2 linked regions of the Lepisosteus oculatus genome follow. The main gene of each other region encodes a partner of the protein of the gene in region 2 in a complex. Links are inferred from orthologs where the notes say so. Each region holds a gene or a part of one and is shown on either strand. Other genes may lie near its edges.

The links.
Region 1: the proteins of rab11 family-interacting protein 2 (region 2) and rab25b are in contact, whole or in part, in a crystal structure (PDB 3TSO), measured with the Homo sapiens proteins. The link is inferred for Lepisosteus oculatus from reciprocal best matches to the Homo sapiens genes RAB11FIP2 and RAB25. Residues at the interface, in NP_055719.1 of Homo sapiens: Arg475, Glu478, Ile481, Asp482, Asn483, Leu485, Val486, Met489, Pro493, Ser494, Leu496, Arg497, Val498, Pro499; in NP_065120.2 of Homo sapiens: Arg34, Ile45, Gly46, Val47, Glu48, Phe49, Ser50, Thr51, Lys62, Trp66, Arg73, Arg75, Ala76, Ile77, Ala80, Tyr81.

The regions. Positions count from the first base shown.
Region 1 is NC_090722.1:3,027,593-3,043,300, forward strand, and holds the start of rab25b (ras-related protein Rab-25b), read left to right. Parts: upstream 1-8,722; 5' UTR 8,723-9,136; coding exon 9,137-9,173; intron 9,174-15,708. Other genes in the region: ragulator complex protein LAMTOR2, read left to right, coding at 1,282-1,444, 3,972-4,061, 7,298-7,354. UniProt on the Homo sapiens protein: The small GTPases Rab are key regulators of intracellular membrane trafficking, from the formation of transport vesicles to their fusion with membranes.
Region 2 is NC_090699.1:32,574,629-32,590,189, forward strand, and holds the start of rab11 family-interacting protein 2, read right to left. Parts: upstream 8,135-15,561; 5' UTR 7,369-8,134; coding exon 7,016-7,368; intron 1-7,015. UniProt on the Homo sapiens protein: A Rab11 effector binding preferentially phosphatidylinositol 3,4,5-trisphosphate (PtdInsP3) and phosphatidic acid (PA) and acting in the regulation of the transport of vesicles from the endosomal recycling compartment (ERC) to the plasma membrane.

The sequences.
Region 1 (15,708 bases), on a different chromosome or scaffold from region 2:
AATTCACTTTAAATAATGTATACAGCATTTTAAAAAAATATATTTTTACGGCCACGTAGTGATTAATTTTCTATGTATTCGTACACGTTTTTACCTGAATCCCAGGTTTAACTTCTAATTTCATAACATCTAGCACATCAGTCTGTCAATGTATCTGGTATAACGCTCTTCACAGCGCTTTGCCACAGATTATTTTACAGATTTCTATGGCAGTATAACTAGTTTGGGAAAAGTATTCAACTAGCAATAATCGCGCCTCGGGCCAAACCTCATATACTGCGATACAGCCACTGTGCAAAGCTGTAACTGACCATCGGACACAGAGGAGAGGAACTCAGAAACTCAGAAACTGGCAGTGGGAAGAGATAAGCCTCCGGGGGTCCCCGGGCAGTGAGTTTGGGGTGCAGTAATGATAGATAGATAATACTTTATAAATTGATGAAAGTCACATACAGAGGGGGCACCCAGATTTGAACTGGGGACCTCTTGATCTGCAGTCAAATGCTCTACCACTGAGCTATACCCCCATAAAAAAGGAGACCCTTCCCTGACCGGGAATCGAACCCGGGCCGCAGCGGTGAGAGCGCCGAACCCTAACCACTAGACCAGCGGGGAGACGATGCTGCCTGGGGACCCCCGGAGCCTTATCTCTTCCCACTGCCAGTTTCTGAGTTTCTGAGTTCCTCTCCTCTGTGTCCGATGGTCAGTTACAGCTTTGCACAGTGGCTGTATCGCAGTATATGAGGTTTGGCCCGAGGCGTGATTATTGCTAGTTGAATACTAATGATGATGTATTGTGAGCAGTTTCCCCAAAGCCCAGGGCTGATATCCTGTTCTCTGGAACATCATGGTCGTCACGGTTATCCGAGTGAGCTAGCTGTGGTTCCCTGGGTCTGTTGTCATGGTAATCCAGGACTGCAGGGGAACCGGAGTCTATCCTGGTAATCAACGGGCGCAAAGCATCCCTGGGCGGGATGCCAGTCCATCACAGGGCAGATACACACTCGCACACAGAGCCAGTTCTTCCAATTAATCCACCAGCATGCCTTTTCACTGTGGGAGCAAACCACAGCACCTGGAGGAACATGCAAACTCCTCACAGACAGCACCCCCAGTACTATGAGGCAGGAGTGCTTACCTCCACAGCACCGTGCCTCCTACAGACTGTGCCTTCAACACTTACTTTGGAAACTCAGTGGAGCCAGCCTGGAATAAGAGGAGGGCTCCAGCAGTCCGTTAGAGACTTGATGATGGTGACTTTCCCTCTGCTCCTTTCCCCAGCCTGCTGAATAACGAAGGCTCCCTTCTGGCCTACTCCGGCTACGGGGACACAGATGCCCGCGTGACCGCCGCCATCGCCAGCAACATCTGGGCAGCGTACGACAAGAACGGGCACCAGGCCTTCAACGAGGACAAGCTGAAGTTCATCCTCATGGACTGCATGGTGAGCCGCTGCACTTCCCCGCGTCCCCACCAGGGGTCGACTGTTCCACTCCTCCAGTGCTTCGGCAGACTGCTTACTGCTGCAAGGAGTCAGAGTGGACCAACCACGAACACTGACCACAGGCAGTCTAGAGGACTATAGCATCATCACCTCTCAGTAGTTCAAGTGGGGAGCTGCGTCAGCATGCGTAGTCTGCAAAGGAACAAGTAATCGTTTATTCCAGGCTGAGAAGAAAGGAAACACAAGTTTCCCACTGTGGACCCGAAGAAGGCTCCACCGTGGAAACGTGTTTCTTTTCTTCTCTTTTCAGCATGGAATAAACCTTTACTTGTTCCTCATCACCTCTTAGCCCTCTTTTCTGAGATATCGGAAGCTGATCAAGGCCGAACCTGGACTGCACTGGCATGGGAGGACTGCAGGAATAGCAGTTTGCTAGTGTAAGCGGTGTTGGTAGTAGGTGGTGCTTTTCTCCCTGGGACAGGATTTCCAAGACAGTGTCTCAGCATAGTGACGGGGGGCGCTGTGCTGTAGGACAGGGGCTCCCAGTCCTGCTCCTGGTGGACCACATACCCGATGATTTCTGTTCCCAGCCGAGCCCTCAGTTCCACAGCTGAACTCTTAATGGATGTATTAATATCGATTCATTCATTTTTATATTTAGATTTAATTTGACTGGTTTCAGCTCTAAACATTTTGGAGGTTACGTTTTAACTACTGTACCGCATTTCGTAAGTAAAATCCCCAACTTTTGAGTAGGAAACTCAATGGCAAATAATCAGATCGCTCAGGTAAGTTGTTAGTACAGTGGAGGGTTGAGTGCAGGAGCTACGCTGGGCTGCCGTGGGTGTGTGGGTCTCCAGCAGCTGAGCTTTGAAGCCCTACTCTTCGGATGAGACTTTAAACCTCGTTCTTCACCGCTTGATCTTTCAAGTTCTCTCGCCACTGTTGGAAGAGTAGGTTAGTCTACACATTAGTCTTGGGCCTTGGGCCTGGCGCAGCCTGACCTGCATAAAGCCCCCTGGTGAAGGGTGAACTGATGAAGCTGTTTCCCACTTTCCCATCTGATCTGCTGTGCCATGGAGTTTGTGGCGCACAGTGCAAGTTGTGTCTGGCACCATAGTGGTAGATGAGGTGACGTCTGTCTTGTATATTAAGTGCTTTGGGGTGAAAAGCACTGTAAAACGCTATTAATTCATTTTTCTAGGCTTAAGGAAAGCAATTTACAATTGAGCTGGACTTCAGAATCCCAAAAGGCTTTGATAAACCTCACCTAGAGGTCTTCTCTTGAAGGAGGGGTAAAACGTTGGGGACTCAAGTAGAAGATAGGGTTAAGTGCATTTAGGACCTGTGTCTGTGTTTGTGCTTTACACTAAGAGTAAGTGGGTGAGTGGGGCAAAGTGCCTGGCCACATTCTTAAAGCTGAATTCTTGGGATCCTTCAGTCCTTGAATCCATAATCTTCTGAAAGTTCAACAAGCAGAGTGTGGCTTCATTTTATTTTTAACCTCTCTTGTATTGTTATAATCTTTTCCCAGTAATCATCTTTTTCACGCTTGTGAGCTTATACATGTGTTATAACATGAAAACTAACCAGCTGCCAGGAGAGAGATCCTGACCTTAGATTTATTGTTTGTCATTTATTTTCAGAACCAGTCAGTGCGAAGCAGTTTTTTCATGTGAGAGTTATCACCCAAGGAAACCTATTCTGAGTCACCATAGTCTCTGAAAATCTTAAGTCTTACATTTATTTGTTACTTATGTTTTATTACTTTTATGAACATACAAAGGTAATCAAAAATAAATGTAAAAAGTTGCAAAACATCAACTATTACAAACATAAATGAGTATAAAGTCTGTTATTTATCATTCTTTTCCATTTTGTCAGGGGAGATAGTGCAGGGGAAAGATGAGGGTGGAGAAAAAAGAACTTCCAGAAACAGAAAAACATTATCATTAGGTCATATAAATAATCCACCTCTCCCAGTATCTCTCCTTCTCCAGAGACCTCCTTCTGGAGTTTTAACTGGTAGGTTAATTTTTCCATTTCAGCTTAAGTGTTGAATTTAATGCAGAAATAAATAGTCAGAGCAGCTACTTCCTTGTGTGACTCATATCACCGAGGCTGATGCCTGCTGGCTAGCGAGGCTGCCGTGGAAGATGGGAAGGGCTCTTGGAGAGGGATCTGTGTTGATACTGATACTCTGGAGCTCGAGAGATCGAATCCTGGCTGGGGGGCAGACTTCACATATGACACGAGCATGTGCACATCCCCAAGGCAGCTGGTGTTTCAGTGGGGCCTTTTTACAGGAAATCACCAGGCGCTGGGATGGTGATTCCAGGGCGAACGGAAACAGAGATGATAGAGATTCAGTATTGGATCCATTTTTTTTTTCCTCTCCCAAGTTACATGACAGAATCCCCCCCCCCCAAAAAATACCGAGCTCTGGTGACGTGTTTCAGAGCCGGGGCTGGTGCGTCTGGTGCTCGGTCTGCAAGAGGCTCAGGTCTTGTTCCCTTGTGTCTTGTAGGAGGGCCGAGTGGCCATCACCCGTGTGGCCAACCTGCTGCTGTGCATGTACGCCAAGGAGACGGTGGGCTTCGGGATGCTGAAAGCCAAGGTCAGTGCTGCCACGTTCTTACGGGCATTTCGTGGGGCTCATCTGCCAAAAGGTGGTGCCTTGATTGGAGATCACGGGTTCGAATCCGGGCTGTGGCACAGGCCAACTGTTGCTGGGAGCTCCCGGAGTGAGGGGGGGGGTGCAGGCGTGGCACAGCTGGCCTGAGTTGAGTGGAGGCCTGAACAGGGGGTCGCTGACGACCCCACGTGGGTAATCCTCACTGGCGCGCACCGGCCGCCGTCAGAGGAGGGCCCCTTCGGGCTCGGGGCGCAACCTGAGACCAGCGGCTCCGAGCGAGGCGGGTCTCTCCCTCTGACGGCGAGACTGGGCTGGCGAGGTGCCTTTCAGTTGAGCAGGTAGACTCGTTTCGCCAGCCACCGGACTCCCAGGATTCTAATGAATAAATAAGGAAAAGGCACTCTTATGCGATTTCCAAATTAAGATCTAATGCAGGGGATTCACGTTTAGTCTGAAGAGAGATTCTGTATTCTCCCCCCCTCCCATAAGACTGCATGTTCAGGGTGGTTGTGCAGAAGGAGACTGTGGCTCTGGGCTCAAACCTGCGGAGCTGAGAGAACGAGACAGTGAGATGTGCGCTCACCAGACAAAGTACTACTGCTGCATGACATGCAAAAGCACAGCAGGGGCAGCATGGCTGCTGTACTAGGAGGTTCTGAAATATTTTCCCTCTCCTGCTCCTCAAGCATTCTCGTCTTCCACCTGGGGTTGCAGTCTGAGGTTTAATAAGGTGTGGGATGGAAGCCTGTTTTCAGCAGGGTAGAGATGGAGGTGTGTTTTCCAGAGACGTCGGTCTGGAGCTCCCCAAGCCAGCCGTGTGCTGACACCTGCTTGGTGTGGAGCTCGTGCAGAATGCTATGGTGCATTTAGGTTTGCAGAAGTCTTTTGATCAACTTCCTCATCAAAGATGAATTCTCAAATGGCGGACAGTAGGACCTCAGGGAAACAAAAGTGTTCAGATTGAAATTACCTCGTAAACAGAAAACAGGGTAGTAATAAGGGATGAACAAGGGTGATGTAATGTTCTTCCTCAGGAGATATACTAGGACCACTGCTCTTCTTAACCCATATCCATGAGCCAGGATCCTATATCATTAGTAAACTAATCACATTTGCACATGATACCAAATAAGGGGGATTGGCACACCCCACAGGATCAGCACCTGAAATCCAAAAAGAGATAAACAGTGTTGATAAAATTCAAAACGTGGTGATCACTTGGCTACACTAACAGGTGTCATGTGGAGAAGTGCAGGGTTTTGCATGCAGGTAGTAAAAACAAAATACAGGTATAAAATGGGAAACACTGAGCTATTAGAGGCTACAAATGGAAAAAAAAGACTCAGGTGTTTATGTTGATGCATCATTTGCCTTAGGAGAAATTAAGAAGGTAAACAAAACATTAGGATATAGTCTGGATTACAATACAGAATTTAAATGTGGGTGGGGGGTGTTAGGCTGAATAATGTATAGTCCATTAGCAAGGCCTACTTAGAATAATATGTACATTATTGGTTAACATGCTGTAGAAAAGATGTTGCTGCTCTGAAATCCATCCATAGAGAGCAACTCCAAGGTATATGGGGATGTCCTACACCTACAGGCTGAGATAACTAAACACTCTTCAGTCCTGAGCAGAGACCCCCATAACAAGCATTCAGGACCCTCAAAGTCAGCCCCGAGGCCAGAACAGGGCTGTGTCAATAGGAGCCGAGCTGTTGAGGGTGATACACTGGCTTCCTCCAAGGAATTGCCTAATGACATCCTTGGCTTAATTATCTACTGACCTCCAAAGGGGCAAGATGAGCAGAATGTTCTTCTCTTATTTGTAACCTTCTTAGAGTGCTGATGTTTTGGGGGTGTAGTTCTCCAGGTGTCCAGCAGGTGGCATGGACATTTAGTTTTTTTTCTTGTACTCACAGGCTGGTGTTAGCGCCTGAACAGCTCAGTTCTTCATTTTGAAGCAGAGCCGAGCCTGGCAGTAATGAATCAGCGTCAAGTGTCTTGCATTGACTCATGACGGTCTTGGCTTCTCAGAAACAAGATGAGGTTCCGCCAGCTCTGATCCTGGAAAGGACTGTGAGGTCACGTTAGCTTTGAGGGAAGCCCTGGTGTGTAAATCCACAGATTTCTCACAGATTTGAAGCCTTTTTTTCTTCTCCAGCAGGCCAAGCTACAAAGCATTTAAATTTGCTGCCTAGTTTTTTTTAATATGAAAGAAGGTAGACATTTAGCCAGCATCCATATCACTCTGCAACTCCCAGCTGGCAGCCCCACTGAAGCTCAGCAGGTGTGAGCCTGATCAGTACCTGGATGGAGACCTCCTGGGAAAAACTAAGTCTGCTGCTGGAAGAGGTGTTAGTGGGGCCAGTAGGGGGCGCTCACCCTGCGGTCCATGTGGGTCCTAATGCCCCAGTATAGTGACGGGGACACTATACTGTAAACAGGCGCCGTCCTTCGGATGAGACATAAAACGGAGGTCCTGACTCTCTGTGGTCATTAAAAATCCCAGGGTGTTTCTCGAAAAGAGTAGGGGTGTAACCCCGGTGTCCTGGACAAATTTCCCATTGGCCCTTACCAATCATGGCCTCCTAATAATCCCCATCTCTGAACTGGCTTCATCACTCTGCTCTCCTCCCCACTGAGAGCTGGTGTGTGGGGAGCGTTCTGGCGCGCTATGGCTGCCGTCACATCATCCAGGTGGGGCTGCACACTGGTGGTGGTGGAGGGGATCCCCATTACCTGTAAAGTGCTTTGAGTGGAGTGTCCAGAAAAGCGCTATATAAGTGTAAGCTATTATTATTATTATTATTATTATTATTATTATTATTATTATTATTATATATATCTTTTAGGATTTAACCACTATACAGATGCAGATAATGATTAAAACTGGAGATGCGGATTGCTGTTCAATGCTTAAACATTTTGCTGCTTAGTTACTGTTAAGTGCTTGCCACCATCTGTACAAAATAATCCTTGGCCATTGTGCTGGTTTTAAGAGGAGTGGGTTTCTGTGCATTTTTGAAACTTGATGGAAACTGACTGTGCTTTTCCTTCTCTTGAAAGAACATTTTTCTTATTTCATTAGTTGTTATTGTTTTTCTGCACACTTTGGTGGTCTTCTAGTTGGTTGCTTGAATGTGGAAGTAAAAACAATATATTAAGGTCAGCAAAGGTAATGCTTAAAGTAACAGTAAGCTACATTTTTTGCCTAGGCTGAAGCTCTGGTTCAGTACTTGGAGGAACCTTTAACCCAAGTGGCTGCGTCATGAACACTGGGGAAGAAAATGACTGTGACACCGATTCCTGGATTTCCTGTCTGAAGTCTCTGGAAGGAAACTGGCCAAGGAGCAACTTTCTGTTGGACTCTTTCAGGGATGGTTTCCAAAACTAAGGCTGTCTTGATCCATAAGGCAGCACTATCCTGAAGCATTTATCTGTATATAGCATTGATTTCAACTGTGCATGTGTTTAGATCCTGTTTAAAAGTCATTCTGTGCAGAACATTGTTTTAATCAAAGAATCTGTAATACCACCTCTGTGAAATCTGTAAACAACAAAATGAAAGAAGTTTCTTGCTGTCGATACACCAGATTTTTCCTTTATTGTCAAACATTGGCTCTTGCAAAGCAAATGTAATGAACAGTGTGGGTGTGCCTTGATGCCTTGGTTTTGAGCTTGCATCAGATTATTTTCAGTTTGCAGTGCACTTGGAGACAGAAATACAAATCTGCTTGTTTTCGGTGATACATGACTCCTTGGCTTCAGTCCCCTTTGCTCAGCCCTGTACCCTGGGCATGGAGATCAGAGAATGTTTCTTTGTACTGCCCAGCTGTGAACTCCATATCTGTGAAGTATTACAGTCCTGCTCCATTTACCTTACATTGGGCTGTTTGCAGTTTGCAGGAGGTTGTCCAGTGGTCCATTAGCTCAGGAAGGTGTGAATGCACAAGGCCTGGATGCAGCAGTGTGACAGAAGGAGCCAGGGACAGCAAGGCCCAGCCTGTCTAGAAACTTTATGAGTGTTTGATTTTGCTGTATTACACAATCTATGGAGAAGGACTCCTCTCCTGGTAAAAGGAGTCTTTTATTGTGTTTGGGTCTTTTTTTAAAATATACTGTCTTTTATTAGATTTATTCCCTAGTAGTTAAAGGGTGAGGTACAGAGCTGCTGGCTTCTTGACAATCACTAGGGGGGTTAGAGAAGTAGGGGTAGCAATCACAGTGCTGAAGGTATTTTGTCATCAGAATGTTTCATGTGCCTTCATGTTAGCAGGTTGGATCAAGGTGTTAAAGGTAGGAAAAACTGTACCAGCTCCCCTGAATATTCCTGGTAGACAAACAGCCCCCTGCCGTCGGCGTCCTGTGAAGCTGGTGCCCACCTGTCCGGCCGAGACTTCAGCAGGGCGTTGAGCGCGAGGGGGCGGGGCCGAGCTCACACTCCCAGCCGCCAGGATCTCCCTGGGGGGGCCGGATGGCCGGCCTTATTACCAAGCCGCAGCGGCTGATCGGGTTAATGATTACAGCCCGAGAGCGGCGAAAGGAAGGGAGGGGCTGGAGCCGAGAAAGCTGCCGCTCTCCTTCACTGATTGCAGGTTCATTTTTGGAAGGCGGAGGGGGAGTGTCTTTCGTGGTGGTCCGTTGGCTGGAGAAAGTGAGAAAGTACAAAACGAGAGGTCCTCCCAATGTCAGCCCTGTGGTGATTCAGTACCAGGGTGGGGGGTGGAGGCCAGGCTGCCTCTACCTGTTCTACCTGCTTCCCGGACACGCCCACCGTCAGCTGTGAGCGCAGCCGCCAGGTCCTTGTGCAAACACAGCACTGACTCCTGCGCCCAGGGAGAGAGAGTGGCGGCCGCGGTGATCTCGACCACCTGGACTTGCTCAGGCAGGGTACTGCATTCCGGACTCGGATCTCTCCCAGAGGGGAAAGGGAGAGCAGGAGAACGGGGGCGGGGGAGGTGCTGGAGGACGGTACCTTTTCCACCTTTTCTCCCTGACCCGTTCGGCAGGGACGCTCACGGGCCCGACGAGACGGCAGCAGGTGAGCCGCCAGCATGGGGACAGACGAAGACTATAACTTTGTGTTTAAAGGTAAGGCTCTTGCTCTTAACAAACAGCCGCCTGTGTAAGGTGTTTGGGGCTGCAGAGGGGGGGCTGGATCGCTATGGGGGCCCCACGGGCCTGGGGGGGGGGGGGCAGAAGCCAGCCCGCTTCAGGCCTGCGGTAGTTCTCTGGTGAGCCGTCGGACAAGGTAGGAAGCAATGCATGGGTATCAGGCTCGAATGCAAGCAGCAGCTCCCTGCACTTCTAGCCCATTACACATTCCTTGAGTGATCTGTCTCGGATACAGATCGTGCCTGCGCCTGCTGATTCTGCATTGATCTGGTGCTGGGGCCAGTTGTCTCTTTTTGCACGGGGGGGGCCCCGTGAGTCACTCAGCTGCACGTCATGGTGCGACAATGCACAAGGCAGATGCGCTGTCCATGTACAGAGCGTCCATAGTGGTGGAGGCTGCATGTGGGAAGGCGAACATTTTCCCAGTGTTGGTCTGGGCGGTGACTGACTGCATTTTCACTCCCTCCCCCGAAATCGACCTGCTGCCATGTCAGCCCAGCCAGGGATGTTTACAGAGCCGATGAGTCAACTTTTTGTTTTTCTGCTGTAGCAACGCACGGTCTTGCGGAAGGATTGGCGCGGGTATGTCTGGGAGCTGCAAATGGACAGAGTCACGAGCCGCAGGGACTCGGAAAGCAGGGGAAAAGCTTGAGCTCCCTTTGATCTGACACGCACACTCTCCGTTTGTTGGCCACGAAGAGCGTGTGGCCTAGATCGAGCTGCATCTTGTTCACTTGAACCAATCACATCTCGATCCAAACTACTGTTAGGGCTCCTGAGTCTTATTCAATGTGGCATGTGCCCCTGCTGTACGGTTCAGACTAGACCAAATTTCCCCCTGGCCTTTACCAGTTATACCTCCCATCTCTGAACTGGCTTCATCACTCTGCTCTCCTCCCCACTGAGTGAGCGGACTGGCGCATCATCCAGGTGGGGCTGCACACTGGTGGTGGTGGAGGGGAGTCCCCATTACCTGTACAGCGCTTTGAGTGGAGTGTCCAGAAAAGCGCTATATAAGTGTATATTATTTATAAGGAAAGATGTGGGTCAGACTCCTTGTTGGCCTTGTCATGCAAAGTCTGATCTAGGTCACCATGTGTACGAGGTTGTTAGGTCATGGCTGTAGAGGGATTGTGAGGAGAAGAAACAAGTGTGATATATTTGCTATGTGTGAGGGCTTTAAAACACAGTTGAATGTGGAGAGAGAAAGGCTGTTACTAGTGGTAACAATCAACCAGTTCATCTCACAATGAAATATGGTCACTTTGTCAACAACATACAATGATACTGTGCAGCAGTGGAGCTAAAATCCACATGGACCACGCAGGGTCCCGTAGATCAATATGTAAAGTATCTCTTTTTTTAACTGGTTTTAAAATGGATCTTTTTTTGCTGTACAGCGAAGTTCACTGCTTATGCATCCTGTGTTGTGCATCTCAGAGCATTCCAAATACCATTAGGGAAAAAAAAACAGTTTTTTTTAAATATGCCTTCATACTAGTATTTGACTGAAGAAACAGATTAGAAACTGCAGGAAAGTTTACAGCGTGAAGTCTCATGTGATATTATTGTCACCAAATCCTTGCTGTGCTGAGGGAGAGTGGAAGTCTCTGGAGCTCTCCTGTTTGTGATTCACCTAACACAGTGCATCACTCTGCCCAATGGCTGACAAATCTGAGCCCAGCCCTGCATATTAAAGTTAGTGGGCAGCATTGCTGCTGCTTCACAGCTCTGGGGCCCTGGGTTCATTTCCTGGGATGCTGTCTGCACGGAGTTTGCATGTTGTCCCCGCATTCGCATGGGATTTCTCCGGGTGCTCCCGTTTCCGGTAAGGAAATTCGTTTTTTATACCAAGAGCTGTGGTTGTCTGGATCAAGCCTCCCAGCCAGGGCCTGAAGTCCGTACTCTTGACTCCTTGAAGAAGCAGCGAAATGAAATTTTAATATTGCTTGTCTGCTAAACCTCCAGTCGAAAGACTTTTGGGGCATGGGGGACGATATTCCTCGTTCTGGAATGAGGGTGGAAGGCCGCAATTGCCCAGACAGCTCTCTGAAATGCACAGACATGGCTAAAGCTGGCCTCGTGTTTCTGTGCGTTTCATCCCTCCTCACAATGTTCTTTCCCGGCTGTCTGAGGTTTTCACTCACTTTTTCTAAAGTTTGTTTCGAACCCCACAGAGCCATCAGTGCCTGTGCGTACTTCATCGTGATCATTGCAAATACGGCGGTGAGAATGGTTATAATTGAGAGCAGGTAACTTGGTTCATTTAGCTCATTTATTTTTTCAATAGCCAATTGATCTGAGGATCCCACCCCGCCATTTCTGAAGGAAGCCAGGGTATCAGTCTCTACGAAACAACTGGGCAGTGAGTTCCACACCCCCACTGAGCTTTGTGTAGAGAAGTGCCGCCTGTTCTCAGTGATAATTGTGCTTCCACTTCATTTCCGCTGGTGCCCCTGGTTAGTGTAGATGTTCTATCAAGAGGGTAGAATAAACAAAATAAAACAGAAATACAGGAAAGGTACATAACATGACCCTAATCTCAAACAAAAGACTACATGCGATATGATTTCACGCAGTGATTTAAGGAGAATGTTTTCATGAGAATTCATACTGTTCCACCAGGTATTCAGATAGATGGGGACTGCCTCTTAGTCTGGAGCTTTTTCAATCTAAAAGTCCAAAAGTGTTTCATTCGTGAATCCATTGAGAGGCAGCTGGAAGATCCTGGTGGTTCCATTTATCCATATTTTAGTAGCGGCCATTTGTCAAACTCAGACGCTTCCATTCAGTTCCATAACGTCACCTAAAAAAGCTGATACTGGGCTCATGTTTAAGACCTTGTTCTAATACGTTGCTTAAGATATTTCTAGCTACCATTTCCTTTAATTGAAACAGGTGACGGTCACAGAGCCCTCTTTGCTGAGCTTTGATTTCCTGGAGTTTAGATTCAGTTCCTCCTGTGCGTCCAGCCCTTGTTCATGAAAGCAAGCTATTGTTCTGTAGCAGCCCTTACCCCTCAGAGCCTAGTCTACTTCTCTTCTCCTCTGTGACATCACTTCCTCTTCTGCATGCTGAGGTCATAGTCTCTACCACTGGGCTCTGTTTGACGCCTGGTTCAGGAGATGCCACACTGGGGCCTGTTTTTAATTGTTAAAGGGACAAGATCCATATCTCTTCCTCTTGTATGTGAAACAAAAATTGAGAATCTGAAAAGACCAGAGACAGCCAATTGTGAGAAACCTGAACCAAACTCAGGGATCTCTGTCAGATTCACAAAGAGAAACCTGTCACGTACCCAAGGGAATCTATCACTTCAGGTCACCTTATAAAACCGTAGCAAGCTCACAATCGCAGTCTGTGGACCATTACCTGAAGCATAACACATCCAGGCAGGTCATAAAAATTCCTTCAGCCTGTTTTTTCACTCTGGGTTAAAAATAAACCTGTCTGGGAGCTCTGGAAACTGGGAGCTTTCATTTAGGCCTAAAGCAAGCTGCAATCTGAATTCCATTGTACAATTCCTGTTAGGAGTAAGTGAGTACTGTGCTTCTCACCCCTGTGGTACAAACTGGTTGTATTCGCACCCTGTAGGCACGGTGCAAACGAACATTTGTTGTGCAGATCTGCCTCTTCATAAGTCCACCTGACTTTTAACCCTCCCCCCCATAAAGATTAAGTTAAAATAGTTAAAATAAATAAAAAAGTTAAAATAAATGAGCAGCTGAGCAGATTTCGAGAGGACCTTAACTGAACATAGTGTACCGTACTGACAAAATCAACCCAGAGCACCAATTCATCACAAACCAGCCTAGAAAAGCCATAATTAAAGGCCTCATAAGCTCCTAAGAATAATATTTCTTTCGTTTTCTTACTGATGAGAATTGAAATTGATTTGATTATTTTCCAGAAGTCTGGACTCGGGGCTACAATTTAAAATAATGTACTGTAAACGAAAACGCAAGTCTGTCAATTTGGAGGCTACTGTATATTCGCTGAATGGACTAAGTCCCATCGTAGAATGTGACTTTGTGATCTCTAGCATGGATACAGCAGATCCACTTGCGCTGCCATTTGGACAAATCTACGCTCTTGGTCATTAAAATATGTGATAGGAGCAGTCTGTACACAGGGCTCGTGCAGCAGCTCCAGATACTGGATCTTTTAACAGCCACTGTACCCAGTCCCTGGTGCTCAGGGCTTGCTCTGCTATGCAATGGGCGTCTCACAGCCACGCCTTGCAACTGTGCTGTGCTTGATCTGTCCAACAGGCACGGCCGATCAGACGTGAGACTGCTAGTGTGGGCCTGCCTGTTATTGGGAAAGGTCTGCGGATTAGAAAAAACGGATAAGCAGGGTGAGGTGTCTTTCTATTGACCGACAGCAGCCCAGCCCAAAACTGCAGGATGTCACATTACAAATAAATAATAGTCCACCGCCTGCAATGTATTATTCTACACAAAACAAGTAGCCGAGGAGCCAAACTACAAACTACTACTGTGGACGACACTGAGCTTGAAGAAGCTGCTCATGAAAGAGGTTATGTTGACACATGTTGTAAAATGACATTTTATAGGGAATGGGAGGAAGCAATAAAAAAGGAAAAAAGAGCATTAAGTTTAAAATGTAAAGAGCATTTTAAAAACGCTGTTTTAAAATTGTACAATGATGTGAGAGGCTCATACCTGAAGCCTGAAGTCCACATAGCAGGAAACAGAACATAGAGAGAGTGACTCCCCTCACCCAGGAGGGGCTGGGAAAGAGATCTCTGGCCCCCAGGAGGCATTATTCAGACTCTTTAGGGGTACTTAACAAGGGTACTCCATACAGTGCATCACACAGGGAGGTGTGCAGGTATTAAGGTCAACAAAAAGGCAAAATGCTCAAATCTGAATGGAATCACCATTCCATACTTAATTCCATTTTGTAATGGCCTGCTCGCTGGGGTGTCTAAATCCACATCAAACAAACACCAGTATGTCCAGAATTCGGCAGCCAGAATCCTGACCAGGTCGTGTTCAAGTGATCGCATTACTCCTGTCCTGGAGTCCTTGCACTGGCTTCCTGTCAGGTTTCGTGTCAACTTCAAAATTCTCACCTACAAGGCTCTGCATGGCTTGGCACCTCAGTACCTGTCTGAGTCACTATCACCCTACTCCCCACCTCACAACCTTCTCTCTTCTATCTCTGGTCTCCTATCTGTCACCCAAGCCTGCCTACACTCTGTGGGTGACAGGGCCTTCTCTTGTTCTCCTGCTCCAAAGCTCTGCAACTCTATCCCCAAGGATATCAGAGTCACCTTCCCTGAGCTCCTTCAGATCAAGACTCAAAACCTTCTTCTCCAGAAGGGCTTTTATTTAACTGGCTGTCTGCTGCCCCTTTGCTTTCCTACTGTATTCCAAATTCTCACTGTAACTGTGCAATTCTGCTTCTCCTCTCATTGTGTGCTCATTGTTTCTTACTGTAAACTGCTTGATAAAGCCATTTTAGAGGCAATGTATATAATTGTTTATTTTTAACATATTATTATGATTATTTACATGTGGTGATACTGAATGCCTGACAATTACACATGCTGCTAAACTAACACGCTACCCCCCCGACAGACAGACTCTTTATTTCTGTTCGGATACCTGCTCCCAGAACTGGCACGGAGAATGGGTACAACGTGTTTTTTCAATAGGCATCTGTGTGGAAAGATGGGTATTATTTTTCCTGAATGTAGGAGAACTGCATCCACATACCAGCTGAGTGCTCTTGCTGTTTAGATAAGATGCAATTTCAATATACTTTGCATCGCCCAGCACGCGTGCTCAAAGCTCTCTTTCCGTCCTCGGATACAGTGTTGAATTACCGGGATTTGTCCTCAGGGAAGCGTTGGTCAGGAACACTAAAATCCCATTTTTATAGGACATGGCTGTCTGTGTCCACCAGCCCCACAGTCCAAGGAAAAGTCCTGCAATTCCTGTTTCCAAACATGCCCTAAAGTTGGAAATTTGGTTGCGGTGTGGGAACGACAAGACCAGATTTTGTGTTTTGGAAGTGATCCTGTTTTGTGCTGATTTGTGTGTAGCTGCATGTAAATTATTTAAGAACATTGGGTAAAAAAAATCTCTTTATCTATTACTCATTCAGCATCTCTTTTGACTACCTGTTAATTAATTGAGATGCAGTCATCCAGCATTACCCAAGCCTGCTGGAAAGGTAAGTACTGTATTGGGGTATCCAGAAGGTTGCAAGGGAGGGGCTATTCAGCTGAAGTCATCTCGCTTTCCTGCCAGTAGGTGATTGATTCGGGAAAAATCAGCTTGAACAACATAAACTGGGCGGCTTTTTTAAGACACCCAGCACTGTTTGGATAAAGATGCACCTCCGTTTGTCACTCCAAAATGCCACCTGCTTGAGTTCAAACCAGTCTGGTAACTCCTTGGGTCCAATCTGCTCGTTGTGACTTCTGTTAAGGCAGATATTTGGGATTGTTCTTACGAAATTGACCAGGTTTCCGAAAGCA
Region 2 (15,561 bases):
GTCATTGACTTTGTTCTCACATGAACGTGTAAGACTGCTCTCTGCCACACACACACTTCTTTCTCATAGAGATGTGTGTATTTGCACTACGGAAGAAATATGAGTTTTCTTATTAAATGTTTACAGCTTGGTCAGGTTGAGCTCCATGAGCCAGGCATCACGAGTTTGAGCCTCTATCATGCATAACTGGCACAGTGTCTCAGGGGGTAGGGTTTTGATTAGTCAGCTAGGGCTTCTTTTTTTCCAACGAAACCGTTGCGACTTCCTGAGAGCTTGCAGATTTGCCTCGATGTCAGTGAGGGGATACGCCTCTCCTCCAAATCAGAGCTGAACCTTCAATATGTTGCTGCTGAGCTCACAACATGTCACATGACGATGGTTTCATGGGCAGGTGGGTCAGAGGAGCTTGTCTGTACCTCAACACTCTTCTTGAGTGGGTACGGTGGTTGTCATTGTGAACTGAGATGCAAAAGCCACTGGTGATTCCAAATTCGGTGGGTATACAATAAAAATAAATGGTGATTATTTTTTCAATTAAAAAAATGTACATTATAAATATATTACAAATAAGATAGTCTTAGTGTTGTTAGCTTCAAAGATGAAGAAACTTTGCACTTTGGCTGAAATTTGCTGGCAGAAACATCCTTAGAAACAGAACCGCTACTGCATACTTTCTCAGTGGAGACTTCAGGCAAACTCAGGAACAAATATCTGCTTTAACAAACACCTTTTTTCTAATATTTAAACATTAGTCCAATTTTCCTTTCCATTTCATGTCCTTTAGAAAAATTCTCCCACTGGAACTGCAGAGGCAAGCTCATTTTATACAAAAACATTTTTTCTCCCTAATGGCAAGCATGACCTAGAAAAATACCACGGCTTTCCAGTTTCTGTACTGAATTTCCCCAGTGCCTATGTGAAATACTGGTTGCGTTTGTCTTCGCAGGCGTAGCTATAATGGATCTATCTTTATGCACAAAAGAGCCCTTCTGAAGTCTAACATCAACTTCAGGCAAACATCTGGATTCTGATAGGTAAGGGCCTAAGTCTTCTAATTCCTCAGTCTTGGAGGGCAAGACACAAGCTTTAACCCCCTGCAGACATCAGTCCAGATATCAGAGCTATGCCTCCTAACCTGCACAGCTTGTCGAATGAAAGCAATGGCACTTGGCTGACATGCACAGTGGAGTGTCATGGAGGGCAGAGCTCTCAAGGAAAGCTCCCATGACACTCGGTGGCCACCTGCCCAATGCTGTCTGGCCCTTACCTTTCATTGCACTAATGCAAACAACAGCAAAAGAAAAGCACTGATTTTGTACTGTTTAATCCACCCAGGGAGCAGCTGACTATTCATATCTACACTCTGTCCCCCTGAAAACAAAACAGATGCCATCTCCTTTCCTTAAGTAAATTCTGGAGGTTCTGTATGGACAGAGGACGCACCCGCTGTACTCTCCTGTTCAGAACAGGGATCAGTACTCTTTAATTACTACTTTAAAATGAAGAAGAATCTTACTAAAAACCCAGTTACATACAATATCCTCTAGGATGATGCACACAAGGTAAAATCTTAATTTAATCTAAAATCTAAAAACGTCTACATTACCAGCTGCATGGACTCAAGAGCCGATACTAAACATCTGGGAAACTTAACACCATTGTAGTTATAAGAATACGAGGACACCCACAAAATTATTTATGAGAGCTGTACTGTACTGAAGGGGGGGTGTGCTTATAAAATAGAGTACATGTGAGTTTTAACACTATAGTGTATTCAAACTTTCTTTTAAATAATAACACTTTCCACTTTGAATAATTCTCATAATTACAGTATCTGTGTTCCCAACTCATTAATCATAAAACTAAAAAGACATCACAATGTTGTTGAGAACACGGCCAAATAGGTGAAATATTCTTTGCACAGAAAGTGTTTGTGTGGTGGTTGCCATCACATCTATAAACCTGTATTACTGTAGATTACAATTCTAATTGTATGAAATGTAGAAACTAAAAGAAGCTCAGCTCAGGTTGTAGTGCTCCTAAGACACCTTTTCTGATCTGTACTAACAATTAATTTCCACAGTATGAGTCCTACTATTTCCTACACATTGTTCTTTTAGCTGTTTGAAAGCAAACAACTAGTCCAATTAGTCCAACGGTAGCACAATACAAGCCAATGATAGATATCTACTATCTACTAGTTCAGGTGGGTAGCTGCGTCACCATGCGTAGGCTGCAAAGGAAAAAGTAATAGGTTTATTCCATGCTGAAAAAAAGGAGAGAGAAAACTCAACGTTTCGGTCATGGAGCCTTCTTCAGGTGTGCACACCTGAAGAAGGACACCTAGCACACCTGAAGAAGGCTCCACGGCCGAAATGTTGCGTTTTCTCTCTCCTTTTTTTCAGCATGGAATAAACCTATTACTTGTTCCTCTACTATCTACTGTCTACTCTCTTAGCTAGGTTCATCAGCTTCATTTATGTTTCATCAGAATTTTCGTTGGAAATACAGTAGTATACTAAATTGGATTTGTGATCCATCTTAAACTGAAAAAAAGGGTGTCCCTCAATGATTTTAAAGCACTTTCAACTGTGCATCACCACTCTTAAGACCATTTAATTGCAGCATTAGGCGTGGTTTGTTTTTAAACATTCTCTACATTCACAAAGGTACAATAGCATTGCTCTTTTGCCAGGTCTGTACATGTTAACCATAGTAGAATTGTAGAAATTATACTGTCATTTTCTAAAGAAAAAGTATCAGTAAAGGAAAAGAACATTATTGCTCTTGAATGCTGTCAACTTTACAGTTTTACTTCTAAACTAGGTGTTCCATATTTTATGCTCTCCTCTATTAATCCTCTGCAAGAGTTCTCCTAAATGTATTTAAAATATAGAAAATTAAAATACAAAGGTTATTAAAAGGTTAAAATAATTATGTTTATAACAACACTAATAATATGCTAATACACTGTTTCTATACAGTTATAGGAGAGACCTGAGCTAAAGTTTAACCCACACAGTAAATTATCACTGATACTTGCTAAGAAAGCTCTCCACAGATTTGATCACTGTTGTATCTGCATGAAGTACACATAGGTACACCTACGAATTATGCACATCAAACTTAGGTTTATTCACTTGGAAGATAATGTTGGATTTTTGGATATGAAGTAAAGCATACCAGCAATCACAGTTCAAATCAGACTGCCTCCCTTTAAGCAGAACACTACAGACATCCATTGGCCAGTCAGAAAAAAAGTACACAATACAGTACAACTGTATTCTACAAAATGATTTCTTTTTTCATTTTTTGATATCAATTGGCAAAACTCTTTCATTTGACCAAAGAGCTGTGGCTCTTGAACATCTAGATGGAGAAGCAGCCATTCATACCAGATTGTCCTCTTGTGTCTTACTTTAGCGCCCATGCTATGAAATAACTCCATTTCCCTTTTAAAATGAACTTTGCTCATTCGTTTCAATACTCAAAACCACAACAAACAAAAGCACACAGTACAGGTTGAGAGGTGAAGATAGTGTAGTGCTCATTGTGATCAAGAGCTGCAACATAGCACAATTTAAAGTATCAACAGGCAAACTCCTTCTTCTGAACAAACCATTATTATGCCTTAACAATTTACAATACAGTTTAAATTAAGCTCCTAAGGCACTTCGGGGACAAAAGTAATGACCAAAGGCATGAACAAATACACTCATGGCATGAAAGCTTCCTCATACTGTGCATTTCTGCCGGCACATCTTTCTTCTAAATATAACCCTTGAAAATCAATGGCAATAGAGCCTACTGACAAAGCTGTGACAGATTCTCCATTAATAAACAAATCAGAACCTTTGTACTTTACATACAAAGACAAAGACCTGGACCTTGTAGTGCCATTTTTTTCAAAATATGAATCTACTTGAAGATGCTGTAGATCTAGTTAAGGTGAATAAAACATTGCTTTTTCAAGGACTTGGCTAACAGCTTTTCATCTGGGTGTAGCCTATAAGTGGGAAAACTGGTCCAACTAGAACAATACAGGAAGCTGCTGAATTTAAATGGTATGAATTTAGAAATATGTCTTCTATTATTTTAGGTGTACTGTATAACCACAGCTACTTTTCAAAACTACTTTTTACAGTTAATCTCATCATTCATTTTGGTGGATTTAGTCAAATATACATGTGGTTCTGTTTGTTTAATTTAAAAAATAATGAATTTATTACAGTGAAGGTTTGGTCAGATCCACCAGTGTGAGGCTGGCCAGTACCTGAATGGGAGACCTCCTGGGAAAGCTTAGGTTGCTGCTGGAAGAGGTGTTAGTGGGACCAGTAGGGGTTGCTCACCCTATGGTCTGTGTGGGTCCTAATTCCCCAGAATAGTGACCCGTAGGCGCCATCCTTCGAGGTCCTGACTCTCTGTGGTAATTTCTCGCAAAGAATAGGGCTGTAACCCCAGTGTCCTGGCCAAATTTCCCATTGGACTTTACCAATCATGGCCTCCTAATAATCCCCATCTATGAATTGGCTTCATCACTCTGATCTCCTCCCCACTGAAAGCTGATGTGTGGTGAGTGTACTGGCGCACTATGGCTGCCATTGCATCCTCCAGGAGGGGCCACACTTTGGTGGTGGTGGAGGGGAGTCCCCATTACCTGTAAGCTATGGTGGAGTGTCCAGAAAAGCGCTATATAAGTGTAAGGAATTATTATTATAGAATTATTGATTTGTGCTGCAAAGAAGCAAGTTTTAAAAATATAAACTCCCACAGTATGGAATGTTACTGTGATGCCTACAGAATAAGGATAATTTAAACCATCTATTGATCATGACATTAAAGCAATTTAAATCCTGACTACACAATGAGGAAACTGTTAGCCTTTCAGGAAGACTCAGCAAGTTTAGAAATGAGGCATAGACACAATTGCTGGTGTTGCTGCTTTAGCGGTGACACACTATAAAAAAGTGGAGACTGTACAAATTGGATTAATAGTTCCTTCTAAATTTACAGTATTGCATGTCTTTCCTCATACACGTTTCAAATTCTTCTCTTATCTGCAAGGCTTTGTTAGTTTAGATTAATAATCTCAACTCCCTGGTCCAGGAAAGCTCCAAACCAGTTTGTATCACATAGGTCACACTGAGCTTTTTTAAAAAAATAGCAACAGTTCTAAGTGGTTGACCAATTTAATAAATACATTATTCAGTTAAAGAAGCGCTGATCCTTGAGGACCATTCAGTGGAAATTGAACTGTTCAACTGTTCCAAAGGAACCCTAAACTATTTATAATAATTAATAATAATTGCTTATACTTATATAGGGCTTTTCTGGACACTCCACTCAAAGCGCTTTGCAGGTAATGGGGACTCCCCTCCTCCACCACCACCACCACCAATGTGCAGCATCCACCTGGATGATGTGACGGCAGCCATAGTGCGCCAGAACGCCCACCACACATCAGCCATTTAATCCGAGAATCAACTTTCTATTTTATTGAGTTAAACCCATGGTAAATAAAGCTTTAGTTTAAAAAAGTGAATACTAGAGGCACCATCATATTTATTCTCAGAATATTAATACTGAATGAAAATTGGATAAACTCAGTCTTGTGATTGCACACAATGTGATCATTATAAAGTGGTTAGTAAAACCACCAGCAGATGGAAATGTATTAGTGAACATCAGTGGAGGTCTGTTACATGATTCTTCTAAGGGAGCTGTTTAATAGTGTGTTGACCTTAAATAATAGTTTAGTTGCTTACACAAAAATCTAAGGGCAAAATTTTATTTTTTAGTTTGTAGAGAGGTTGTTTGCTGGTGTGAAATTAACATTGTACCAGTGGATTTTATAAATCTGTTTGCATTCTTGAATACAGTTAGTTACACTTGTCTTCACAACTGATAGAGGATTCACAACTGAAATTGCAAAGAGATGTTATTGTGGAATACTAATGCAATACCAGTTTATGCCTATATCAGAGAGAGCACTCTTCTCCTTCAAATAATCTTAAGGGGATAAAAAAAAGTTTTGTTAAAGCAAAAGTTTACTTACAGTAAACAGCAATGGACAATACGAAACTGAATGCATTACAGTAAGAAATAGTAAGCAGAGATTCTGAATCAGGGGATCACACTGCATGAGACGTAACAAGGTTACTTGAAAATGAGCACTGCTGAAGTGGAGGTCAAATTTCTCACAGTAAATTCAAGCAGGGGAGTAGCTGATATGAAATCGGGTCATGCTTTCTTAGATCACCACTCAAAATTCTAATTGGGTGATCTGAAGCAGGCGAGTCTGCAGTTCCTGGAATGAGAGGTCCCAACAGACAGTTCTCCTGCAAGCAAGGTGAAAGCCCTCCTCCCCCACACAGGAAGAAGAATAACCTTCACTTCACTTAGCTATAGTACAAACACTGAGTACACAAACATTGTGGGGCTAAAACTGCTGCGCATATTAAGGCAGTCCCTACAACTATGGCACTAAATTCAGAAATAAAATGTTAAGAGTAAAGACTAATAAACCAAATAAAGATTCACCTGGCTTTTGACTCAAGAGTACAGAATGAACTACTAATGGAATTTATGCCTGAAAGAGAAGCTTGAGAATTAATAATTGTGCTTTTGACAACTGCAAACACATCTCCCGGATCAATATAAAACACACTTACAATCTGCTTAGACACTCACACAGTGAAATAAATGAAAATCAAATACCAATACATAGACAATTCGATGAATGAAAATTTATTTTCATTAACTTGTACTGTACTTATTCGATTTTTCATGAAACTGTATTTCCATAAGCCTCCTGTCTGTCTCAAAGCTTAAAGAACTTGGCTGGATGGTTGGATGGGTTTCAAAGACAACATTTTAATTTATTCTTGTCACCTACCATACATACAGTACCATTCTCTGGAAATCAGGTTGTCCTCAATTAAGTTGTGCACCTGTATTTCATTTCGGAGAAAAAAACAAAACAAATGCTTGTGTACAAAGTAGTGGCAGCACTTACTCAGTTTTTCTTCGTTCCTTGTTATCAAAGATTTCATTGAGGTTGATGGCCTTCTGTCCCAAGAATTTATCCATCCCCACAAGAGACCTATGCATTACTATGAGGTGCAGCTCATAGATTTCTGGGTTGCCTTCAAGAAGCAAACCAGGGAGCTCAAAGGAAGCTTCTTCTTTCCATACTGGATTAAGAGTCTTCTCAGCCACAGATGTAGAGTACTTCTCTTTGCCCAGCTGGATGATGGTGTAAGCATCATTGGAGCCATTTTTACCTTTGGGTATTAAGTCTTTGGCTAGTAGTACAGTGGCTTGTACATGGGTTGGAAACCACTTTTGGGACTGTTCTGCGAGTGACATTGTTCAATTTTTTAAAAAAAATCTATTTAATTTTATTTAAGAGTCAACTGCTTGATAATGATGGCACAAAAAGGTAAAAAACAAAATTAAAACATTATAAATGGTTCGTTACAATGCATATCGATAAAAGATTACATAATCCATACTCAACAGCTGTACGAAGCCATTGGAACGTGAATCAGATATAACTAGGCTCTAACTTTCAAAATGCCAGTGTGTACAGTGTCATTTCTTATTAAGCACTCTCACGTAACAGATCTAGGCTATACTCCTAACATAAAAAAAAAGTTGGAAAACTGTTTCTCCAGCAGTCGACAGTATATTTCACATCTGGCCCAATCACAAGATTATCTCAGAAATCCGTGCTTTTCTAAGTATATTCTGGTTTGGGATGACATTTAAAACGAAGAATAAATCTATAATTAAATGTAGATATAAACAAATGCTTGGAGTAAATGTTTTAACGACATCCTTACACTCTGACAGCGAAATCACACATAAAATAAATCACATTCATCTTTTAGTAAGACATGTATAATTAATACACTTGCCATCCAGATTTTGCACCGACAAAAAATAAAACAACCCCGATCCTGTTACCTCCAAATCATTTTTCCACAGATCTAAACATATTGTCCGGTTATCGTAACACAGCTGTACGCAATTATTACGTCTTGTTGTTTGGCATCCTCAGTATAAATCATTTCAGGTCATTGTGCAATGTGATCCGCACAAACCAGTGGTGACTTCCTAGTTCTCCATGTTGATTTCTGTTTGATGCAGTCAGAGGTGAGAGTTCATGCTCCTCCTCGGTTTCCAGGGAAACTAGAAAGTTTCAGGAACTAAACCATCGCTGCATCTGAGTTCATCTAAGTGCGGGATGGGAGAAAAAAAGAAAAGCTGATAAAGAGCGTTTCCTAAACTGCAATTGTTGGAGTGATAAACTATTGATTGATAAGGTAAGCATTGTACTGCGTGTTTGTGGTAGTATTTCTTGATAAAAACGACTGAATAAAAATGTGCAGGAAGAAAAAAAAAACTGCGGATGTTAAAAAGTACCGAAAACCTTCAATGCAAACAAATGCAAGCAATTTCAAACTATTTAATTACACTGGAAATGTTTTAATACATTAAACCAAATGATTATTAATAGATTAGCATTCTAAAACTATAACAAATTGACCTTATTGTTGAAATCAGCGGGAAATAGGCAATACGTAAAACGTACACAAAAACTTAAGTACTCAGAAAAGGGAAAAACATTTTAAATTAGGCTAAAAACAGAGCAACTTTCTTGTGCATTGACTTGTTAAATCTGTCCCTCATTTGCATAGCTATTAAAACATTTACCAAATGAATGCTTTCAGTTACACCTCTAACCTTTCCTCTTTGTTTTACTGCAACAATGCAAACAGTAGAAGTAATACCATTCTGTCATGACATACTGAAGCAGCAAGTGTGGGCAATCTGTTAACCTGACTTCTCTTTTTGTGCCAGTAGCTGTGTTGTGAAGATTGCAAGATAGCATCATTTTTGTGTTATTTGAACTCGGTGATTCTCAAAATATCATGACTTTGCAATATGGTGCACATTTTGTATTGCTTAAAAATATGTAAAAATATTGTGATCCATTTTGAAAAAATGGGCAAACGTGTGCAATTTGGCCAGAAACCCACAGACTGCTGTTTGAGAGCCTATGTTTTTCGTCAGATGATATAATTGCCACTGTACAAGTGTCTAAATGGTGCAGTGCATGTCATAATCTGGGTTTCCATAAATTGTGTCTTAGATGGATGTACAAATGCATAAATGGACACAAATAAAACAAGTTAGAAACCAAGGCCATTCACTCCATCTAGCTCTTTTAGTAGCTTTTAGCTAGTTAACTGAATGGATAAAGACTATTTGTCAAATAGGGCCATCAGATGGAAGCCAGAAAATGCAGGTACCAAAATGCAAAATCCAGAACAGCAAAGCAGGGGACAATCTCCAGTGATTTAGAAAGGGCTGAAGTAGAAGGAAAGGAACTGGAGACTATAACAGTCGAGAGACAAAGATGGAAGAAGTTGGTGGTCCAACGTGCAGGTGTGCACTAAAGAGATTTAAGACTTAATATCTGACATGGGTCTCATCCAATCATTTCCTGGAAGTTGTTAGGGTATTGGGTTCACAAGCATAATTTGGTCATTGGTACACTTTTCATTCATTTATATTTATATTAAAAAGGTACACTTTTAAGACTTACAATGCTTTAAGACTTGTTAAGATTAAGATTTCACAAGTTCAGTTCTTTTAGTTAGTGAAGGATGTTCTTTTAAGTCCAGTAAATTGCCTAGAAAACTGGACACAATATTTTAACACTGTCTTACAACTATATACTACTATAATTTGAACATTCTCGATTTCAGCTCTAAGCCTTTCACTATAAACACTTTATATTTGGTAATTGCTTTCAGACATAGTCTAGAACAGTGTGGTTCTCAATCCTAGTTCTCAAGTATACTTATTTTGCCTGCCCTTATTTACCTGTGCTAACCGATGCTTGTAACTGATCTACTTGTTGATTTAACTTTTCTGTTTCAGAACTACCCTAGTTGAAGTTAAATTTCATGATTTACAACATTTTCCATGCAAAGAATTTTATTAACTTGGTCATACATAAGTGGGAATTATATTTTATCACAAACTGTAACTCCGATTTTGAGTCAGTGTTTTTCCTTCTGCTTTTGGTCTGACTGATTATATTTCAGCTAGCACACCTGAATCATGGCAGTCTTGAAACTAATTAACACGGGGTTCGTATGGATTACAAGTCTCTTCACATAATAAGAAATGAAATAAAATAATAAAGGACTTCAAACAGAAATTTGAAATAAATTAACCTGTCATTATGAGCTCAATGGGACCATGGTCAAGAACTAGTGTACTAGGGTATGTTGAATTAGAGGCCTCAGTTCAGAAAAGAAAGCATGAATGGGGAAGAAATAAGCAGTGGTGTTTAAGAGATAGTTGGAACAAAAAAACAGTAGACACAGGGGTCCTTCAAGGCTAGGACTGAGAATGAGTGGCCTAGAAAATATACAGCAGGATAAACATTATCATTGATATATGATAAACATCAAACATGTCCTGTTCATAGGTGGCCTTTCCCAATTTGTACCTGCAAATATATATTTTTGTTAACTGCACTTATATACTGTATATATACTGTAGGTTTCTCCAAGGAAGAGATTTATTTTTGTTCTTTTATCCACATTTTTGAATCCGAAAGCAGAACTCATCAATCCAGTATAAAGTCACCAACATAAAAAAATCATTCAAAGGATAGCCAAGTGTCAGGAGAGGTAAGATGATCTTATCATCAGTAACATTATGCAATTCTGACAAGCACATACCCTTACTGTTCCATGCACTTCTTTATTGCGCAGCTCACTTTCTCAATGCAATGTAAACATTTATCCCTATTCTGAATACATTTCAGCTTTTGACCAAAGGGGACATAAGACTGGCACGTGGACTTTATGGTTGTCAGTTTCAAGAAATTATTTCAGTTCAATTCAGTTCAAAATACTTTATTCATCTCAGGAGGGCAATTGAATTCAGTTTGTTTTGTTGAAAAGAGCCCATTGTTTGTCTGTCCTAGTGTACATTGTTTGTTCTGGTGCCATTATTCTACTGTAAGTTGATGTTCCAGTCACTGTTTTATCATTAGCACTTTTCTTAAATTATTCTTAAGAATATCCGAGTTCTATATTAAATGCCATCCGATTCATAATACAAATCTGCAACTTAACTTGCTTTCAAAGAAGATCTTCTGTCAATTACTTTATTTTGTAATTGATCATATTGATTGCCTTTGGAGTGTTACAGTACATGAACACTAAAAGTTGCGGTGGCTGAGCGAGTGTCTCCCCAAGCCAAGATTTTGATTGTGAATGCATTGTTTATTGGACTGATATAGCATGATTAAAAGAATGCTTTTTAATATTACAACATTTCAAGCACGTCCATCTAAATGGTGCATAAATCCAATACAATGTGAATATTCCTAAATAAAAAACACATGTTGTGTTTAAAAGGACCGCAGTGAGCTTTGAAACAGAGCAGGACTAATAAAGCAATGTAAAGCAGAACTCATTTACTCAGTACATTTTTGGGGTAAATTTAAAAATATCAATTTTTTCATTAACAAAATCATCATGCTTTTTGTGTTTTAATCTGGATTGCCTAAACAATGTAAAAAATAATGTTTTATAATGTTATAAACCATTTTTGTGTTTTTACATCATATAAAGAATATGGGTGTGTGAATTTAAACAATCCAGGTCATCATAATTGGCCTTTCTGGTTCAACACTGCTGCTCAGGTATTTGTGTTAGGTGTTAGACATACTGTACGCGACTATGTAGAAAACTAGCACATAGATTCATGTAGTGTGTGACCTGACTATCAAGGGACCTTTGTTATTTTCATTGTAACTACAGTGATAGTCTACTCCTATAAGAATCATTAGATCCCAATATATGCAACTTCCATTATTTCTGGCTGTCTAAATGCATTATTGAGATAAATCATGAATGAGTGGCCTTTTAACTGTTTTTACTTTCTGAAATTACAATTTACATATATAAGGGAAGATAAATGAAACTTACTTAATCCACCAATTGTTGCCACTCTATTCTAATGTGGCGTAAAAAAATATTATGTAGTATCTGAAACAGTAAAAACATTATTGGAGAACACTATGGAAGAGATTTTGGACTGGAATTCATTCCCTAGTTCTCCTGACATTCTATATATTGTACAGTACCAGGACTGAAACTAAAAACATCTGGATTTCACAATGAACAGCAGAAGAGCAGCCTGGAAGATAAACGGAATACGGAATATATATACCCGCAAGTCATTTGTGTGTGAGTTTGTTTCACATTACAACACAGAAAACTGGACACAGTAGGTGGTCTTGTTTTGAAAACTCATTACTTTTCTTCCTTAGTCATGACATTGATCTGGTGCCTTTTGTAGCCTGCCAGAATCTCTTATGCACCAGAATCATTTGCATAAGATGAAATGCTGAGTGTAATTTGTCTCTGAATTCTATATGTTTAGTATTTTCACATGGTTGAACATTTGACTATTTTTGTCTTCAATGATGGAGATCAGCAAGCCTTTTGTCTGTTTTGCTGAAATGAGACATTACCACGTAATTATCAGTTTGCTTGTAGAATTACTGGAAACCATTAGAATTATCAGACTAAAATTAGTTTTCAGTCTCATTAAACAGGTCATTAAGTAGGGCTCTACTTTGTTTTTTTGCACTCTTTAGCCACTGCACTGTGTTTTACAATGATCAACTAATTTTAGAATTATTGAGCAAGAGAATATGAGTATTGCTCCAGTCACATTGCCATTGACAAAAGGGGTGACTATTTTAGAGTATGAAAATAAATGATCAATTAAATATCTGTTTTAAAAATTGAATTGTAAGGACTGTTCTTGTAAGAAATACTGTATAAGAATGTGTGCAATATAAATGTAAATACATAGCTTTATTAGATGTTATTCCAGTCTTAAGGCCTCTCTAAGCTTGCATTGCTGAGACATTTAAAAAAAGTATCAATTTGGCTTTTACTGACAAATCACTCAATTTTAACAAAAAAGAAGCGAAAATGTTAATGCTTATGTTTTATCCTAATATTTTTCACATGTGTAGGACTGTTTGTATAAATTGCTATTTTATTGTTGAAAAATTCCTGAGGATCATACTTGAGTTTTAACAAACCAAATATTCCAGACGTAGATGCAAATTTACAGTTCTAGTTACTCCAAATAGAAATAAGGGGCATTTCAGTACTAGAACAACACAAAGAAATGAGAGCGTACTCAACAAGTAGCTCAAAAGGCTACAATATGGAAGCTTATAGTTTATTACCTTTTAATTTGTTGAAACAATATTCCAGAATTGTTGCTTGAGGTATTGAGGTGTTGTAGGGCTGCATTTCCTCTGGACAAGACAGAATTAAAGTTTGTTAGTTGCTAATTTTGTTTGACATGTTGTGCATCCATATTTTCTGTGCTAGCACTTTACTGAATGTGTGTACAGTTCACACAAAGCATGCTGTGCATTAGGTGGGGCTGATCTTCAACGGCCCAGGTTGCCACAAAGAGTTATCCGAATCACTGATGTACACCCAAAATCTGAAGTTATATGCCAGTGAATCACAGCTGTGATTGCGTTTATCTGGTTATAGTATAATATATTTTTAGACAGTCTTTAACTTAAGAAATCTTGAATTTTGAGATTAAAAGGTTGCATTTATGCACAAAACCTTTACAAATACCATACAAATTTTGACCTTGCCTATCAATTTAAAAAGTCGAAAAGTCTCCCAGTCAGAGAGACCACAGATTAAGCATATTGCAGTGGAATATCCCTGAGTATGGAGCCCACAGCACACTTAGTTAAATAATTATAGGATTTGCCTTTTAACCAAGGCACCATATTTCTCCCTTCAACTAGAAATGTGCTTGGAGCACAGATGTTATCATCTTCATCACTGAAGCACAGTGAATAAAAGGTGCAGTGGTCTACTTCTGCTAGTACTTGCAAGAGGTAGAGCACAGAACTTTAGGTATCCCCTACTGGTGTCATCAATGTTTGTTGTCAGGGGCTGCAGGGTATAGATAAGGTGTACATTTGAATATATATAGTTATACATGACACCCCACTTCACAAGTATTTCTTAACCAAACACATTTGCTTCCAAGACACTTGGAAGCACCCTGGCATGGCTATACAATATGTATATCACCAGCTACAGGAACATAGCAAATACATCCATCATATTAAAATGCTCTTAATCTATTGAGCTAGTGTCCACTAATTAAAAAAGCCATAAGTTGTGATATACTATACAAAGCACTTTTTTTAAATGTGTCATATTCAATAAAAAGGTGCTGTGACAAGTAACAACATTTTGACAAGTGCCTTCAAGACTGCTGGTAAACATTTTATTGCAGCTCATTTTATGATGGAGCATCACCAGGTTATGATGGAATTTGCCCAGCAAGTCATGAGTGACAGCTGTTTAAACACCAGCATCTCTTTCATAGTTATTCAGTGAGGTGTGACTTATAATCAGAAATATTTTTTTTCCCCCAACATGGCCCATGTGGCCACCACTCAGAAACCTAACTACAGTATGTAACAAAATTCCAGTTAGACATTTTCAGAATAAAATATTTTTTCTTATTACAGCTTTTCTGCGTGGACACCTTTCAATATACAGTATGTCAATTGCCCAACTAATTTATTCACTTTTAATAGATAATTCAGCTGTAATTATATACATTATTTGTGTGCATGATTAAAATGTATAATGTGCAAATTATATTTTTTTGTTTGATAATCCTATATACAGAAATTGATTCTATTAAATAAATTTGACCCAAGTTAATACACAGGATAGTGCATATTTTGAAAAGCTTATGCAAAAGTTCAATAACTTTTGTATCTGACTGTGTCTTTGTTAAGTATATATTATACACTCTAACAGCAAAAAACATTATCAGGTATATACCTACTGAAGTATCAGCTTGCCTATTTAAAAAAATAGAATGGAGGTCACAAGGCCATTGTTTAATTTAACAATTTGTATACCACACTTATATATTGCACTTTAAGACCTTAATAATAGGCTTATCTTTAGCACAGGATTAAAACATAAAAGGCTTCACATTCCAAAGTCATCTGTATCCATTTATTGCTTATTCCTGATAGAACATATATAAAAACACTGTCCCATATATTGTCATAAATCTCTATATATAACGTATGACTAAACTCTCCAAAGGAACAAAAGTAAAGCCCATAAAATGTCAAAAACGGAAAGAAAAAGTATTGCATAGCAGCAGGAGACCTGCTGAGGAGTCTTATCCATTGTCTTAACCTGTAACATTTCAGAAGGGCTTCTCACTGAATCTGTGCATATGCTTTTGGTTTATACTTTATCTGTAACGCAGTACAGGTGGTATTACATTAACTGAACACTTAATATCTCTGGAAAACACAAGGGCCAAAGAAAGTCCATCGTTTGTCAAAATATCTATTAAAAGATTGCAAAATTATCTCAGCATTATTTTTAAATTGCTTTTCAGCCATTTCTGAATGTTTAAGTGTCTGTTGATCTTGAT